2 linked regions of the Stegostoma tigrinum genome follow. The protein of the gene in region 1 purifies or fractionates together with the protein of each later gene. This does not show direct contact. Links are inferred from orthologs where the notes say so. Each region holds a gene or a part of one and is shown on either strand. Other genes may lie near its edges.

Region 1 (7,240 bases):
ATTTGAACCCAATGACGTAAAGCATTACCTAAATATCTAGATTAATAGGCTACTGATAATACGATTAGGTCAGCACCTGCCATCATTCCATTACAATCAGTATTCAATTAATTTGACCTGATAGATACAGTTAAAATTAAATAGTTAAGGGACAATGAATTTTTCAGTAAATTTAAATCCAAGGTTTTTAGAAAAGAGTTAAAAATATTTCAGTTGGCCGCACTATTAAGCAAAGAAATAGCAGACATCAGCACTTGATTAGTGAGCAGCCGCTGAGGTGGTTTATTAACACTACTTCAGTGGGTTTAAACTAATTGGTACAAGCGTGGAATATTAGCAAAGCAAAACAAAATGCACAATGAATTGTAAAGACAAAAAAACTCAAATAGGATACAACATGACATGAAATACTGTCAGCGTAAGGGGCATGCTGTAAGTTTTAACATGGATACATGTGAATGTATTAAGTGCACCAAATATGGCTGGTGAGGGGGAGACACAAATAGCCACATGCAAATTATGTTGTGGTGATAATGGATGCCTTGAATGAGTAAGGTAGAGTGAGGGACTAAATATTCCTAGATGCAAGGTACTCTGGAAAAGTGGGGAGCAATACTAATTAAAGAGAAATTAAAGTACTAATGAGAGGGGTTATCCTAGAGGAGTCTTACAGCTATGGAACAGAGGAATATAATTACACTTCTGGATGTACCCTATAGGCAACTAACTAGTGGAAAAGATGTAGAGGAACAAGTCTGCAAGAACATTCATGAATTATAGTGTAGTTACAACAGAAAACTTTAATCCAGTAGCGACTGAACAGTAATAGCATAAAGGGCAGAAAGGGGAAAAGAGTTTCTAATAAAAGCAAAATACTGTGGTTAGTGGAAATCTGTAACATACAGAAAATACTGGAAAAACTCAGGTTTGGCAACATTTGTGTCATTCTAGACTTGAAAATTTAACTTTGTTTATCACCACCGATGCTACCAGATCTGCTGAGTTCCTCCAGCACTCTTGTGCTAGTTGTGAAAGAGTTTCTAAAGTATGCTCATGAGAATGGGAACGAAGTACAAATGGAAGAAAATTGAGACACCTATATAAAACACTGGCTCAGCCTCAAGATCAGCGCATCGCTTTTTAGGAAGGATGTAAAGGCATTAGAGAGTATGCAGAAAAGATTTGGGAGAATAATTTCAGGAATAGGAAAGTTCAGCTCTTGGATAGATTGGAGAAGTTGTGGTTGTTCTTGTTAGAGATAACAAGAGGACATGTGTCAAAAATTGTGTGGTTCAGAGTTGAGAGAATGTATTCCTGTTTGTGGAAGAATCGAGAACCAAAGGACACAGATTTAAGATAAAAACAAGACACTGCAAAATGCTGTAAAATCTGGGAAAAAGACTGTTGTAAATCTCATTGCCCAATATCAAGTCTAGCACAAATCAGGAACGGCATGGAATACTGTCCATTGCCTGTACGCAGTTCCAACAACAGCCAAGAAACTATCGCAGGCCAAACAATCCACCTGATTGGCACCCCAACCACTACTTTCAATAGTCACTTCTTTCAGCACTGACATAGTGGCAGCAATGTGTACCACCTACGAAGTACATCACAGTATTTTACCAAGGATCCCCTGACAGCATCTTCCAAACCTCTATTGCCTACAAGGACAAGGGTAGCTGAAACATGGGAAAATTAACAGCATCAAGTTAATCTGCTACTGTGGATCAAAATTCTGGAACTCCCTTCCTAACACCATTGTGGGTGTCGCTACACTCTTAGGACAGAAATGGTTCAAGATGGTACTTCACCATCACTTTTACCAAGGCAATTCAGGTTAGGTATCCTGCAACATTCACTTTCCATAATGAAAAAAAAACACTGAATTGTGGAAACCCATTTCTAATGTGACTTATAAAATGAAAAGAACTGCAGATGCTGTAAATCAGGAGCAAAAAGTTGCTGGAAAAGCTCAGCAGGTCTGGCAGCATCTGTGGAGGAGAAAACAGAGTTAACGACTTGGGTCCGGTGTTCAAAGAAACCAAAAAACCCCACAAAAGTCTGCAGTGAAACAGATTTTTATTTTTAAGAAAAATCACAAGCTAAAAGGCTATCGAAAAAAACAAGCTTCCTGCTGCATTCAAAATTCTCCACTTAATTTCACATCTATTTTGAAACGATTTGAGAGATTTACGCTTTCTTCTGAATGGGATACGTTTACCAAACTGAGATGTGCGGAGAAAAGAATGCTGTGAACAGGCATAAAATATTGGATGCAAAATTCAGGCATGGCTAAATTATTTGCATAAACCAGTGTGTCCCTTTTTTGTTCTTATATGTGAAAACAAAAATTTGTTCTGAGCGCTGGCAAAATGGGGATCACATCACCCCTCCACGACGTACCCGATGTCCAGTCTAATTTCAGTCAATGAAATTAAACAGTAGGCGACCCATAGCTCCAATTGCACTGGTCCCTAGCCGTAATTCTACGATTAACTGGAAACCCTATTAGCACCGTCACAACACATTACAAAGAAAAACATTCAGAACAAAACAAAGGTTGAAAAACAAAATACTTCCTAGTTTCTGATTTAGAAATTTCCAGTTACCGGCTAAAACTGGACCGAAGGGGAAATCTTGGCCTCACCCTCAATCAGCGTAGACCGCGGGCCCTCAGTCAGTTCACTCAGTGAGAAATGGTTCACATTTGAGACAGACAGAGAGAGCCCGCACCCTTACAGTCAGAATCCGAGCTCCGGACACTTTCAGGCGGCGGCAGCGGCATCATCCAACGTGCACTTTCCCGGAGGTGACATCCCAGGCCCTGACCTGACTCAACCTGCAGGGTCGCCGCTACTACCTTAGCCCCCGCCCACCCCCGTCAGTGCGAACAGTTTTCACCTTCTCGCGATCCACCGGCTTCTCTGGCTCTTTCTTGATCTCCTCCTGGGTGACTCTAGACTCCACCGCCATATTCCCGCCCCGCCGCTCTCTCAACGATGGCGACCGCACCATAGAGAGCGAGCAAGTCCCGAGAGCTGCGCACGCAGCATGCGCATGTCAACAAACTATTTGTGACAACTGCGGCGACCATTTTTGCTCCTGGCAACTGCCCACGGTGACTGGCAGTAGAGCGAAGGAACGTGGCAATGAAATATAAACCGAAAGTCCATCATTTCTTAACGGGGTCCGAACCATCTACTGTCTCTCCCTCAACAACGATAAGGTTCTCCTTGTCCTTACCGTCTCCTCCCTTGTCTGCCTTGCGCAGGGACCGTGCCCTTCGGGATACCTTGGTCTACATTCCTTCTCTGCTGACACCAACCTCCCCAGTAGCCCCACGGCACCTTTCCTTGCAACCACCGAAGCTGCAACACTTATCTCCCAGATAGTAGGAACTGCAGGTGCTGGAGAATTTGAGATAACAAGGTGTAGAACTGGATGAACACAGGAGGCCAAGCAGCATCAGAGGAAACTTCAGCCTTCCTGCTCCTCTGATGATGCTTGGCCTGCTGTGTTCATCCAGTCTACATCTTGTTATCACACTTGACTCCTACCTCCCCAGCATCCAAGGGGCCAAACATACTTTCCAGGGAAGCAGCACTTGCACTTCACTCAATCTAGTCTGCAACATTTGCTGCTCACAATGTGGTCTCCTCTACATTGGGGAAATGAGGCACAGACTGGGTGACTGCTTCACAGAACAACCTATCTTCTTTTCTCTCCATCTTCGGTCCGCCTCCCCCTCTCTCCCTATTTATTCCAGAACCCTCACCCCATCCCCCTCTCTGATGAAGGGTCTAGGCCCGAAACGTCAGCTTTTGTGCTCCTGAGATGCTGCTGGGCCTGCTGTGTTCATCCAGCCTCACATTTTATTATCTTGGATTCTCCAGCCTCTGCAGTTCCCATTATCACTGCTTCACAGAACATCTATGTTCTGCTTGCAAAAATGATCCTGAGCTTCCAGTTGCCTGCCACCTTAACACACCACCCTGTTCCCTGGCCAATATCTCTGTCTTCGGCTTGCTGCAGTGTTCCAGTGAAGTTCAGCACAAGCTGGAAGCATAACACTCCATTTTCTGAAGAAGGGTCCCAGCCTGAAACATCAACTTTCCTGATCCTCTGATGCTGCCTGGCTTGCTGTATTCATCCAGCTCCACACTCTGTTACCCCATTTTCCACTTGGTAACCATGCAGCCCACCCGGCTCAATGTGGAGTTTAGTAATTTTAGAGTTTGGACTCTCCCACGTCCTTGTCCCCACCCCACACTTCAGGCCTTGTTATCACATAGCCTGTCATTTCACACTACCTATTGTCAGCCACTGACAGTCTCCATAAACAGCTAATCACCCTCCTGGCCAGATTGTAATCAACTCCTTTGTCCAACTGTTCTATCTCTTTGGGATCTATACCCAACTACCATTTACTCATCACCCCCTTCCCCCATCCTGTCTTCCGCATATAAACCACCAATTTCCTCGCCTCCATCAGTTCTGAAGAAGGATCACCAGACCCGAAACACTAACTCTGATTTTTCCCCACAGATGCTGCCAGACCTGCTGAGTTTATCGGCAACTTCTGTTTTCGTTTATGATAAATGTCAATGACTGGTCACTTGGTTCACCCCCAGTGAATGCATGATCACCAAGTTTGCAGCTGACAGAAACAAAGGCGGGAATGCAAGTAGTGACAATGATACCGAGGGTCATCAAAGGGAAATAGACAGGTTAAACAAGTGGCTAAAAGCTTAGTTATTGGAATATAGGGCTGGAAAATGTGAGGTTATGCACATTGGCAGGAAGAATAGAAGAGCTGAATAATACTTAAATGTGCAAAGACTGCAGAAAACTGCAGGACAAGGGATTTTGGAAGTCTTGGTACATAAATCACAAAAAAATTAGAAACCAAGTTCAGTGGTTAATGGTGAAAGCAAATGGAATGTTTACCCTTACTTCAAAGGGAGTGGAGTATAAAAATAGTGAGGCCTTTATAAAATTAAACAAGGTACTTGTCAAATCATTGATAATGGGAACTGCAGATGCTGGAGAATCCAAGATAACAAAGTGGGGAGCTGGATGAACACAGCAGGCCAAGCAGCATCTCAGGAGCACAAAAGCTGACGTTTCGGGCCTAGACCAGGCCCAAAATGTCAGCTTTTGTGCTCCTGAGATGCTGCTTGGCCTGCTGTGTTCATCCAGCTCCACACTTTGTTAACTTGTCAAACCATACCTGGAATACTGTGAGCAGTTCTTTTTTCCCCTTAGCTAAAGGAAGATATGCTGGCATTGGAGGCAATCCAGAGAAGATTCACTAGATTGGTCTAGTGTATGGAGGGAACAGCTTTTTCCCAGCTGGTATTAGACTAATGAGTGGACTTTCTAGCCTCAAATAATACGGATCTTGCAACATTGATCTTGCCTGGTGCATGCCCTGTGCAATATAACCTGTATGCCTCTGTCTAAGTCTTTTTGAACGGTGCATTCTTGCTTACTATGATCTGTCTGTACTGCTTGTAAACAAAGCTTTTCACTGTACATCGGTACACATGACATTAAATCATTCAATCAATCAATCAATTGATTTTCTTTATAGAAAATGTGTACTGATTGGAGTTTAGGAGAATGAGAGAAGACCTTATTGAAACATATAAGATTCTTAGTGGGATTGACAGGGTAGATAGAGAAAGGTTGCTTTCCCTTGTGGAAGATTCTACCACCAGAGGGCATAATCTCAGAGTAAAGGGTCACCCATTTAAGATAGACATGGGGAGGAACTTCTATTTAAGGCAGGTGAATCTGTGGAATTCATAGATATCATTGAATCCCTACAGTGTGGAAACAGGTCCTTCGGCCCAACATGTCCACACCGATCCTCAGAGCATCCCACCCAGACCTGTACTCTTATAACCCACCCAATCTACACATCCCTGAGGACTATGGGCATTTAGCATTGCCAATCCACCCACCCTGCACATCTTTGGACTGTGGGAGGAAACCAGAGCACCTGCAGGAAACCCATGTGGATACAGTGAGAATGTGCAAACTCCACACAGACAGTCACCAGAGGATGGCTGTCAAATCTGGGTAATTACGCATATTCAAAGCTGAATTCTAATTATTAAAGGAGTCTAGGGTTGGGGAATAAGACAAGAAAGTGTAGTTGATGATCATCTGATCAGCAATGATCTCCTTGAATAATGGACACAATGGGCTGAATAGCTTATTACTGTTTCTATATCTTATAGCATGCTAATAATTTCCCCACATAAACAAATTAGAATAATCCCAAATTCCTCTCGCTATTTAGAATCCTAATATTCAAATAACTGCCTTAATTACTAGTGCAGATAATTCTTTGGCAAAATTTGACATCATGCAGATATCTGGAAAGTTGTCTGAAAGAAACAAGTTTTAAAGAGCATTTTTAAAAAGGAAAGAACAGTAGAAAAGTTGGGGGTCATGAGAAGTGAGTGGCGGTAGTGTTGCAGTATGGTGTTTGTTAGTTGCAGAAATTCCACATCTTATGTTCCAGGCTGCACTTGAAGACATTGCCTCCAACATTGTAGCAATTAAAACAGGTGGTGTTCAAGAGGCCTGAATTGGAGCAGCACAAGTATCTTGGAGGATTGTAGGGGTTGGAGGAAAGAACACAGGTAGGTCATGGACTGTGGCTGTGTAGGACTCTGAAAACAAGGATGTGAATTTTCAAACTGATGCATTAGTCACCTAGGAGAAAATGTCTGTCAGTGAGAAACGGGTGACAGACAAATGAGACTCACTAACTTCAGACATAGGTAGTTTTGAATAAGTCCAAATTCATAGAGAATGAAATGTTGGAGTCCAGCCAGAAAATCATTAGAACAATTAATTTTACAGGTAACAGGGAATGAATTAAGATTTTAACAGCAAATTAGCTGCAGCAGGGGAAGAAACAGATGATGACTTGAAGATGGAAAAGGCAATATAGTTGATGAAAAGGAGGGCTTGATATCTCAACACAGAGTTTAGTGGGTGCCAAGTTTACAAATATTCTGATTCAGCCTCAGGTAGCGGTTGAAGTTGTTGACTTGCTCGCCGAGCTGGCTTGTTTTTGTTCACAAGTTTTGTCACCATGCTAGGTGACGCCATCAGTGGAGGTTCCGATGAAGTGATGTTATTCTACTCCACTGGGAATTTATACTGTCCCGTCTGTTATGGTGAGTACAGTCATTTCCGGTTTTGATCTGTATGGGTTTAT
Region 2 (7,630 bases), on another chromosome or scaffold:
CTCCGTATCCCTCAGTTAGGCCCTCACTGGGAGCACCGTGCACAGTTCCGGTCTCTATATCCCTCAGTTAGACCCACACTGGGAGCACCGTGCACAGTTCCTGTCTCTATATCCCTCAGTCAGACCCACACTGGGAGCACCGTGCACAGTTCCTTTCTCTATATCCCTCAGTTAGACCCACACTGGGAGCACCGTGCACAGTTCCTGTCTCTATATCCCTCAGTCAGACCCACACTGGGAGCACCGTGCACAGTTCCAGTCTCTATATCCCTCAGTTGGCTAACACTTTGTGGAAGTGTGGGATACCGTGCACCTACTCATGTGCGTGGTTAAGGGAGGGAGTGGGGCAGATGGAGCAGGACAAGAGGAGATCAGCTCTAAGATCAGCAAGCACAGGGATAGATGCGATGGGTTGAGTGGCGTGACTGCAGACAGGAAAACAAGTTGTCAAGACAGAATTCAAGAGCTCTCCTGACCAGAGGTGATTGGGTGGCGGGGAGAAAGAGGGGCCAGGAGGGAGATTCTCCTTCCCAACAGCCTCAGGCTTGGTCTGTCTTTCCACACTCACCCCTTCCCGGAATCCATCAAACTTGCAGAGGTTGCCATTCTTTAGCTGGAGCCTGATGCCATAACCCCTGGCAACACGCCGCCACACTCCATCACTGACATCCGAGGCTTGGACACTGTCCACTTTCCCGGTCTTACTGTTCTTGAAGACAATTGTCTGACGGCTCAGACGCAGGCGTCCATCGATCTGCACAGGGTTGTGGGTAGGAACAGCTCACAGGTTACAACACAATCCCTGACAGAACTCCCTCCTCACCCTCACCACCAGGGACTCAGACTTCAGGCAGGGCAGTGAAGGTGGTATTCGGTACGCTGGCCTTTACTGTTCCATGAATCAAGCGAGTATACCGATTGGGAGGTTATGTTACAGCTGTACAGTGAGCCTACTTTTGCAATACTGCATTCAATTCTGGGCTCCCTGCTATAGGAAGGATGGTGTGAAACTCGAAAGGGTTCAGAAACAATCTGCAAGGATATTGCTGGGTTTGGAAGGTTTGAGCTCCTGGGAGAGGCGGAATAGGCTGGGGCTATTTTCCCTGTACTGTTGGAGGCTGAGGGTGACCATATAGAGGTTTATAAAATCATCAGGGGTATCGACAGGGTAAATAGCCAAGGTCTTTTCCCCATGACGGGGGGGGGGGGGGGGGGTCCTAAACTAGAGGAGCATAGGTTTAAGGTGGGAGGGGAAAGATTTAAAAGGGGCCTAAGGGGCAACTTTTTTTTTGCACAGAGTGGCACAGGTATGGAACGAGCTGCCAGAGGAAGTGGAGGAGGCCGGTACAATGACAACATTTAAAAGGCATCTGGATGGGTCTATGAATAGGAAGGGTTTAAAGGGGTATGGGCCAAATACTGGCAAATGGGACTAGATTGATTTAGGACATCTGGTCCCCGTGGACAAGTTGTACCAAAGGGTCTGTTTCTATGCTGTACATCTCTATGACTTCAGGTCACGTGCAGCTTCTCTGGGAGGGTTTTCCATCGAGCACAAAGGCTCAGGGGGAGATGCTCACTATCATGAGGGGTCTCCCCTGGAGTGGGGTAGGGTGCAGAGAGGAGACTATGGGACAGAGATCAGGAAGTGGTCATTATGCAAATTTCCAGCTCAGCCACTCACCACCCCAAGGACAGATGTGACCCCAACCCCCATTCAAACGGAGATGATGACCTAGTGGTGGTATCATGAGCCAACTAATCCAGAGATCTGGAGTCAAATCAGCAGCAGATGGTGGTTCATCCGGTTCTCTAGTCTCCTTCAGGGAAAGAAATCTGCTATCGTCACCTGGTCTGGCCTAGACACACAGCAACGTGGCTGACTCTCAACGGTTAGGATCAGGCAAGAAATGCTGACACAGCTAATCATGCCCACATCCCATCAACGAATCCAAAAAATATCTAAGATCATACCAAGGCCACCCCCCAGGTGGATATCACCCAGACAGTGTATCTTCCACCACCTCATCCCACCAAAGACAGGCATTCACTTCTGCACAGTCCTGACGTTGAGATTTCCTCTCCAGCCACGACCCAACCCCCCCTTACCATCTTGCGAGTACATACCATTGTTCCTTTCAACTCCTGGTAGATGTCATTGTATTCGAGGATGTCAGAGCTCGCCATGTTGCCCTATACGGGAAAGGACCCCACCTCGTATCAGCAGCTATACGGTCAGGCTGCCAGCAGGGCTGCAAAGGGGACAGAGCAGCAGCAGCAGCAGCAGGCACTGGGCAGTAGCTACAACCTGCTCCTTTCACAGGTGACCCTTTGCCCAAGGGCCCCCCTGCTCTAAATCAAAGGCCTGTTTGACTCTCTCCGACTGGGCACCCAACTACAAATGGTCTTTCTCCGTCTGGGATCTAAGTACCTGGGCAAGCCCCTGCTCCAAAACACTGGGTTCCCAGTCTCCCCGGAGACCTCCTCCTGTTCCTGCTGGGCCTGGTGAACCCCCTCTGGCCCTGGGGGAAGGGGGCCTGCTGAGACCCCCTCTGGCCCTGGAGGGGGGGGGTGGAAGAAGGGGCCTGCTGAGACGCCCTCACCTGGGGGGGGGGGAAAGAAGGGGCCTGATGACCCCCTCTCACCTGGGGGGAGGGGCCTAGTGACCCCCCTCTCACCTGGGGGGAGGGGCCTAGTGACCCCCTCTGGCCCTGGGGGGGGGGGAAGAAGGGGCCTGATGACCCCCTCTCACCTGGGGGGAGGGGCCTAGTGACCCCCCCTCTCACCTGGGGGAACGGGCCTAGTGACCCCCGCTCTGGCCCTGGGGGAGGGGTCTAGTGACCCCCCTCTCACCTGGGGGAGGGGCCTAGTGACCCCCCTCTCACCTGGGGGGAGGGGCCTAGTGACCCCCCTCTCACCTGGGGGGAGGGGCCTAGTGACCCCCCTCTCACCTGGGGGGAGGGGCCTAGTGACCCCCCTCTCACCTGGGGGGAGGGGCCTAGTGACCCCCCTCTCACCTGGGGGGAGGGGCCTAGTGACCCCCCTCTCACCTGGGGGAGGGGCCTAGTGACCCCCCCTCTCACCTGGGGGGGAGGGGCCTAGTGACCCCCCCTCTCACCTGGGGGGAGGGGCCTAGTGACCCCCCTCTCACCTGGGGGGAGGGGCCTAGTGACCCCCTCTCACCTGGGGGGAGGGGCCTAGTGACCCCCCCTCTCACCTGGGGGGAGGGGCCTAGTGACCCCCCTCTCACCTGGGGGGAGGGGCCTAGTGACCCCCCCTCTCACCTAGGGGAGGGGCCTAATGACCCCCGCTCTGGCCCTGGGGGAGGGGCCTAGTGACCCCGCAGCCGTTTGTCCTCTTCTCCCCCTCAGCTGCCCCCTACCCCCCGACCCGGACCCGGACCCGGACCCGGACCCGGACGATGCGGGAGGAGACGCTGCCACTCGGCCCGGAGCTGATGCGCGCCCGCTTCTACCCGCCAGCACCACGTGAGCGCCAAGAGCAGAACGGAACCGGAAACCGCCGACCTCCCGGCCGTAAACACGATGGAGGGGGTCACGTCAGCGCCGGACCGGAACCGGAAACGAATGCCCGAGGCTCATCCAACAATAAATACGTTGGGGTCACAGAAGCACCGCCCCAGACCGGAAGCGGAAATCGGAGGGTGGGTTCAGACACGGTTGAGCGTTTATAAAAAGTTTTTTTTCGGTATATTTTATCTCTTTTTCTCTCTCTCTCCCCCTCTGGCTCCTTCTGTTCATTTAAAGTGGAACTAGAAGCCGGAGCAGTCCCTCTGGTTTATTTTTCTCTTCATGACCTTCCTTCCCGCGCTCAGGTTTGGAGGGGTCAGAGGTCAGGTACAATGTCAGAATTTTATTTAAAAATTAATAAACAAGAAAAAAAAACAAATTAATGATCATAAATAACAGTAAATAATAAACAATAACGTTGTAAATGACCAAAGATGACGAATAACAGTAGACAATAACAAATGTACAATGAATGATTAAAATAAACAAAAAAAGAATAAATATTGATTCATAATTTTAAATAATAGATAATGAACAAACAATAACCAAAAATAAACATATAGCAAATCGTGAGATAGTCATTAATAGTAAATAATAAACAGTAAATATAAATAACAACGGTAAACATTAATAAAAAATATACAGTAAATAGTGTATTATATACAAATATTAATAAACACTAAGAAATAAATACTCAGTGAATAACATACAATAACAATTCTAAATAATTAATAGTAAAATGAAGAATGAATAACTATTGAGTATATAAAATATGGGAAATAAATAATTATAATAAACCATTCAATAAATGCAGAGTAAATAATGATCAACGATAATAAACTGTGAACAAAAAAATAGTAATATAATAATGGTAAATAATACCTGTGAATAATTAATTGAAATGACAATCGCGCTAAATAATAAATTACTAAATAAACAAATAATAGAGTCCTACAGCTGTACAGTACAGAAACAGACCCTTCGCTCCAACCCATACATGCTGACCAGATATCCTAAATTAATCTAGTCCCATTTGCCAGTATTTGGCCCATAGCCCTCCAAACCCTTCCTATTCATGTAACTATCCAGATGCCTTTTAAATGTTGTGAGAGATTAGAAATGTTGTTTCTGCAGATAATGATGAATGGTGTGGTCTTGCAAAAGAGGACCATTACATAAATAGTCACAAGATTTTGTAGCAGAAGTTTATTATTAACCAACGATTAGGTTTTGCAAAGGCGGCAGTTAGCACGACCACCTGCATAACTTGTCCTTTCCAGTCTAACCCAATAAGGAAAGAATAAACAGGGGGATGGGGTTTTAGGCCGGCAGAAAAGGGGAACAATAAACAAGGGCGGCCCGATAGGATGGAGAATGATAGGATAAGATTGGACCAATGGGACCAGGGAGGTGTGATTCCGCAACTTGTAAACTGTGTAAGAATGCTTCACATGCTTTGTAGTGTGCGCCTGTATAGCATGATCGCACAGAATAAAATTGTTCTTGTTTCCAAGGCTTTGTCTCAGGCTGAGTTTGTGAGCAAGTTTTGGTTCTCACAATGTTTTAATTGTACCAGCTTCCACCACTTCCTCTGGCAGCTCATTCCATACACACACCACTCTCTGCACGAAAAAGTTGACCATTAGGTCCCTTTTAAATCTTTGCCCTCTCACCTTAAACTAATGCCCTCTGGTTTTGGACTCCCCTATCCTGGGGAAAAGATCTTGACTGTTCGCCCTATCCATGCCCCTCATGATTTTATAAACCTCTATAAGGTCACCCCCTCAGCCTCTGATGCTCCAGTGGAAAACACCCCAGCCTGTTCAGCCTCTCCCTACAGCTTAAACCCTCAAACCACAGCAACATCCTTGTGAAACTTTTCTGAACTCTTTCACATTTAACAATATCCTTCCGATAGCAAGGAGACCAGAAATAAGGACAGTATTCCAAAAATGGCCTAACTGACAATCTGTAAAGACAACCAACAACGTGACCTCCAAACTCCGAGACTCAACACACTGACCAATAAAGGCAAGTGTACTAAACATCTTCTTCACTATCCTGTCTATTTGCAACTCTAGGTACTATGAACCTGCACTGCAAGGTCTCTTTGTTTGGCAACATTCCCCAGGACCTTACTATTAACCCTGTAAGTCCTTCCCTATTGAACAATGCTAAACAACAATAAGTATTTATAATAATGAACAATAAATGTAAACGAAAACAGTATGAACATCCTAAATTTTAAATAATGGCTAACAATACAGATGTGGTAAATTCTAGTAAAGGATAAACAAATACATGGTAGACAATAAATATAAAAAAACTAAATGTTAAATAACAATAAATAATATGCAAGAAATGAATGACAAATAATGTTAAACTACACAAAATAAATATGCAATAATAAATAATTATGAATAATAACAAATATTTAACACTATTAAACAAGTATCTAATAATAATTATTACCAACAATAAGTAATAGACAATAAATAATAATAATTATGTTGAATGACAAACAACAAACATTAACTTAATAGAAAATAATGATGAAGTGACGCGTGTTGTAAATTACGTTCCCTCTCTGGGAGCATGGACTTCATAGTCAGACCCTCACATAAGTGAGTTCTACTCCACAGAACCCTTCTCTTCCTACGTTGACTCAATTTTTCTCCCCTTGTCCAGCCCCTTGCCACTTACATCCGCAATTCCTCTGACCTTTATGTCAGTTTCGGAATTTCTAGTTTGCATGCTCCAGCTGCCTCCTCTTTCCAATGGACGTGCAATCCTTCTACACATCCACACCCCGGTGGTCTCAGGGTTCTCCGCTTCTTGGAGAAAAGGCCTAAACCGTCCCCACCCACCAACACCCTCCATTGCTTGTCCTCACCCTCAACAACTCTTTCAACTCCTCTCATTTTCTTCAGGTTAGAGGGATGGCCATGGGTACCTGCATCGGACCTAGTTATGCCTGAATATTCATGGGGCACGTGGAACATTCCTTGTTCCAGTCCTATTCCGGCCCGCACCCACAACTCTTTGTCTTGTATCTTGATGATATCATCAGTGCTGCCTCCCTCTCTGGTCCGGAATGGGAAATGTTTAATCTATTTGCTTATACTTTCCACCCAACCCTCACTTTCAACTGGTCCATCCTGCTTTCCCTCCCTCAACATCCGTTTCTATTTCTGCGGACAGACTGGCCACTAATATCTAAGTACAAACCAACCAATTTCCACCGCTACCTGACTATACATCCTCACAGCCTAGTTCCTGTAAAGACTCCAATCCATTCTCCCGTTTCCTCTCTCTCTATTGCATCTGTTCTGGACCAAACAAAACAAATTTCTGGTTCAATGGTCACGCAGTTATCATGGATGTTGATACCGGCACAGAATCATCAGTGATTGCAGAACCAGACTTTAACAAGATCTGAGATAATAAAATGTGAGGCTGGATGAACACAGCAGGCCAAGCAGCATCTCAGGAGCACAAAAGCTGACGTTTCGGGCCTAGACCCTTCATCAGAGAGGGTCTAGGCCCGAAACGTCAGCTTTTGTGCTCCTGAGATGCTGCTTGGCCTGCTGTGTTCATCCAGCCTCACATTTTATTATCTTGGAATCTCCAGCATCTGCAGTTCCCATTATCTCTTTAACAAGATCTGCTCTGGACTATTTGTGCAAACCCTTGGACGGACTGAGATGATGTGGTGGGGAACCGTCACAAAGTAGGGTTACGACTTCACTTCCAGTCTCCTTCAATAAGCAGTTAGTGCAGTTATCACTGCACTGATTGTAGTAAAAGGTTCAGGCTCAACCTTGATGGGGGTGAAATTGAGAAAGATCCACCTTGATTGGCTCACATTTTTCGATTGAAAAATGGCTGCCTGAGTGAAGTCTGAAGTAAACACCCAGAAATTTTTCAGGAAAGTCCAGGGACTGTGGCAGGAGCCAAGGCAAACTTACACATTTGGAGCAGGAAACAATCCCACAATCCTGCAAGGGCCCACCCGGTGCCTTAGGGGTGAAGGTCGAAGCAGAAACCAGGAGGCTGGGAAGTGAGGGAATTATTAAACCAGCCCAGGGTGTGGAATGGGC

What was found. The genes of interacting proteins can lie anywhere in the genome.
Region 2: the proteins of sap18 (region 1) and FACT complex subunit SSRP1-like fractionate together in Homo sapiens (co-fractionation; 3 studies listed by BioGRID and IntAct, with this or other methods). This does not show direct contact. The link is inferred for Stegostoma tigrinum from reciprocal best matches to the Homo sapiens genes SAP18 and SSRP1.

What each region holds. Positions count from the first base shown.
Region 1 is NC_081359.1:73,360,378-73,367,617, reverse strand, and holds the start of sap18 (histone deacetylase complex subunit SAP18), read right to left. Parts: upstream 3,039-7,240; 5' UTR 3,019-3,038; coding exon 2,905-3,018; intron 1-2,904. UniProt on the Homo sapiens protein: Component of the SIN3-repressing complex. Enhances the ability of SIN3-HDAC1-mediated transcriptional repression. When tethered to the promoter, it can direct the formation of a repressive complex to core histone proteins.
Region 2 is NC_081399.1:1,281,956-1,289,585, forward strand, and holds the start of FACT complex subunit SSRP1-like, read right to left. Parts: upstream 3,093-7,630; 5' UTR 2,188-3,092; coding exon 2,128-2,187; intron 755-2,127; coding exon 569-754; intron 1-568. UniProt on the Homo sapiens protein: Component of the FACT complex, a general chromatin factor that acts to reorganize nucleosomes. The FACT complex is involved in multiple processes that require DNA as a template such as mRNA elongation, DNA replication and DNA repair.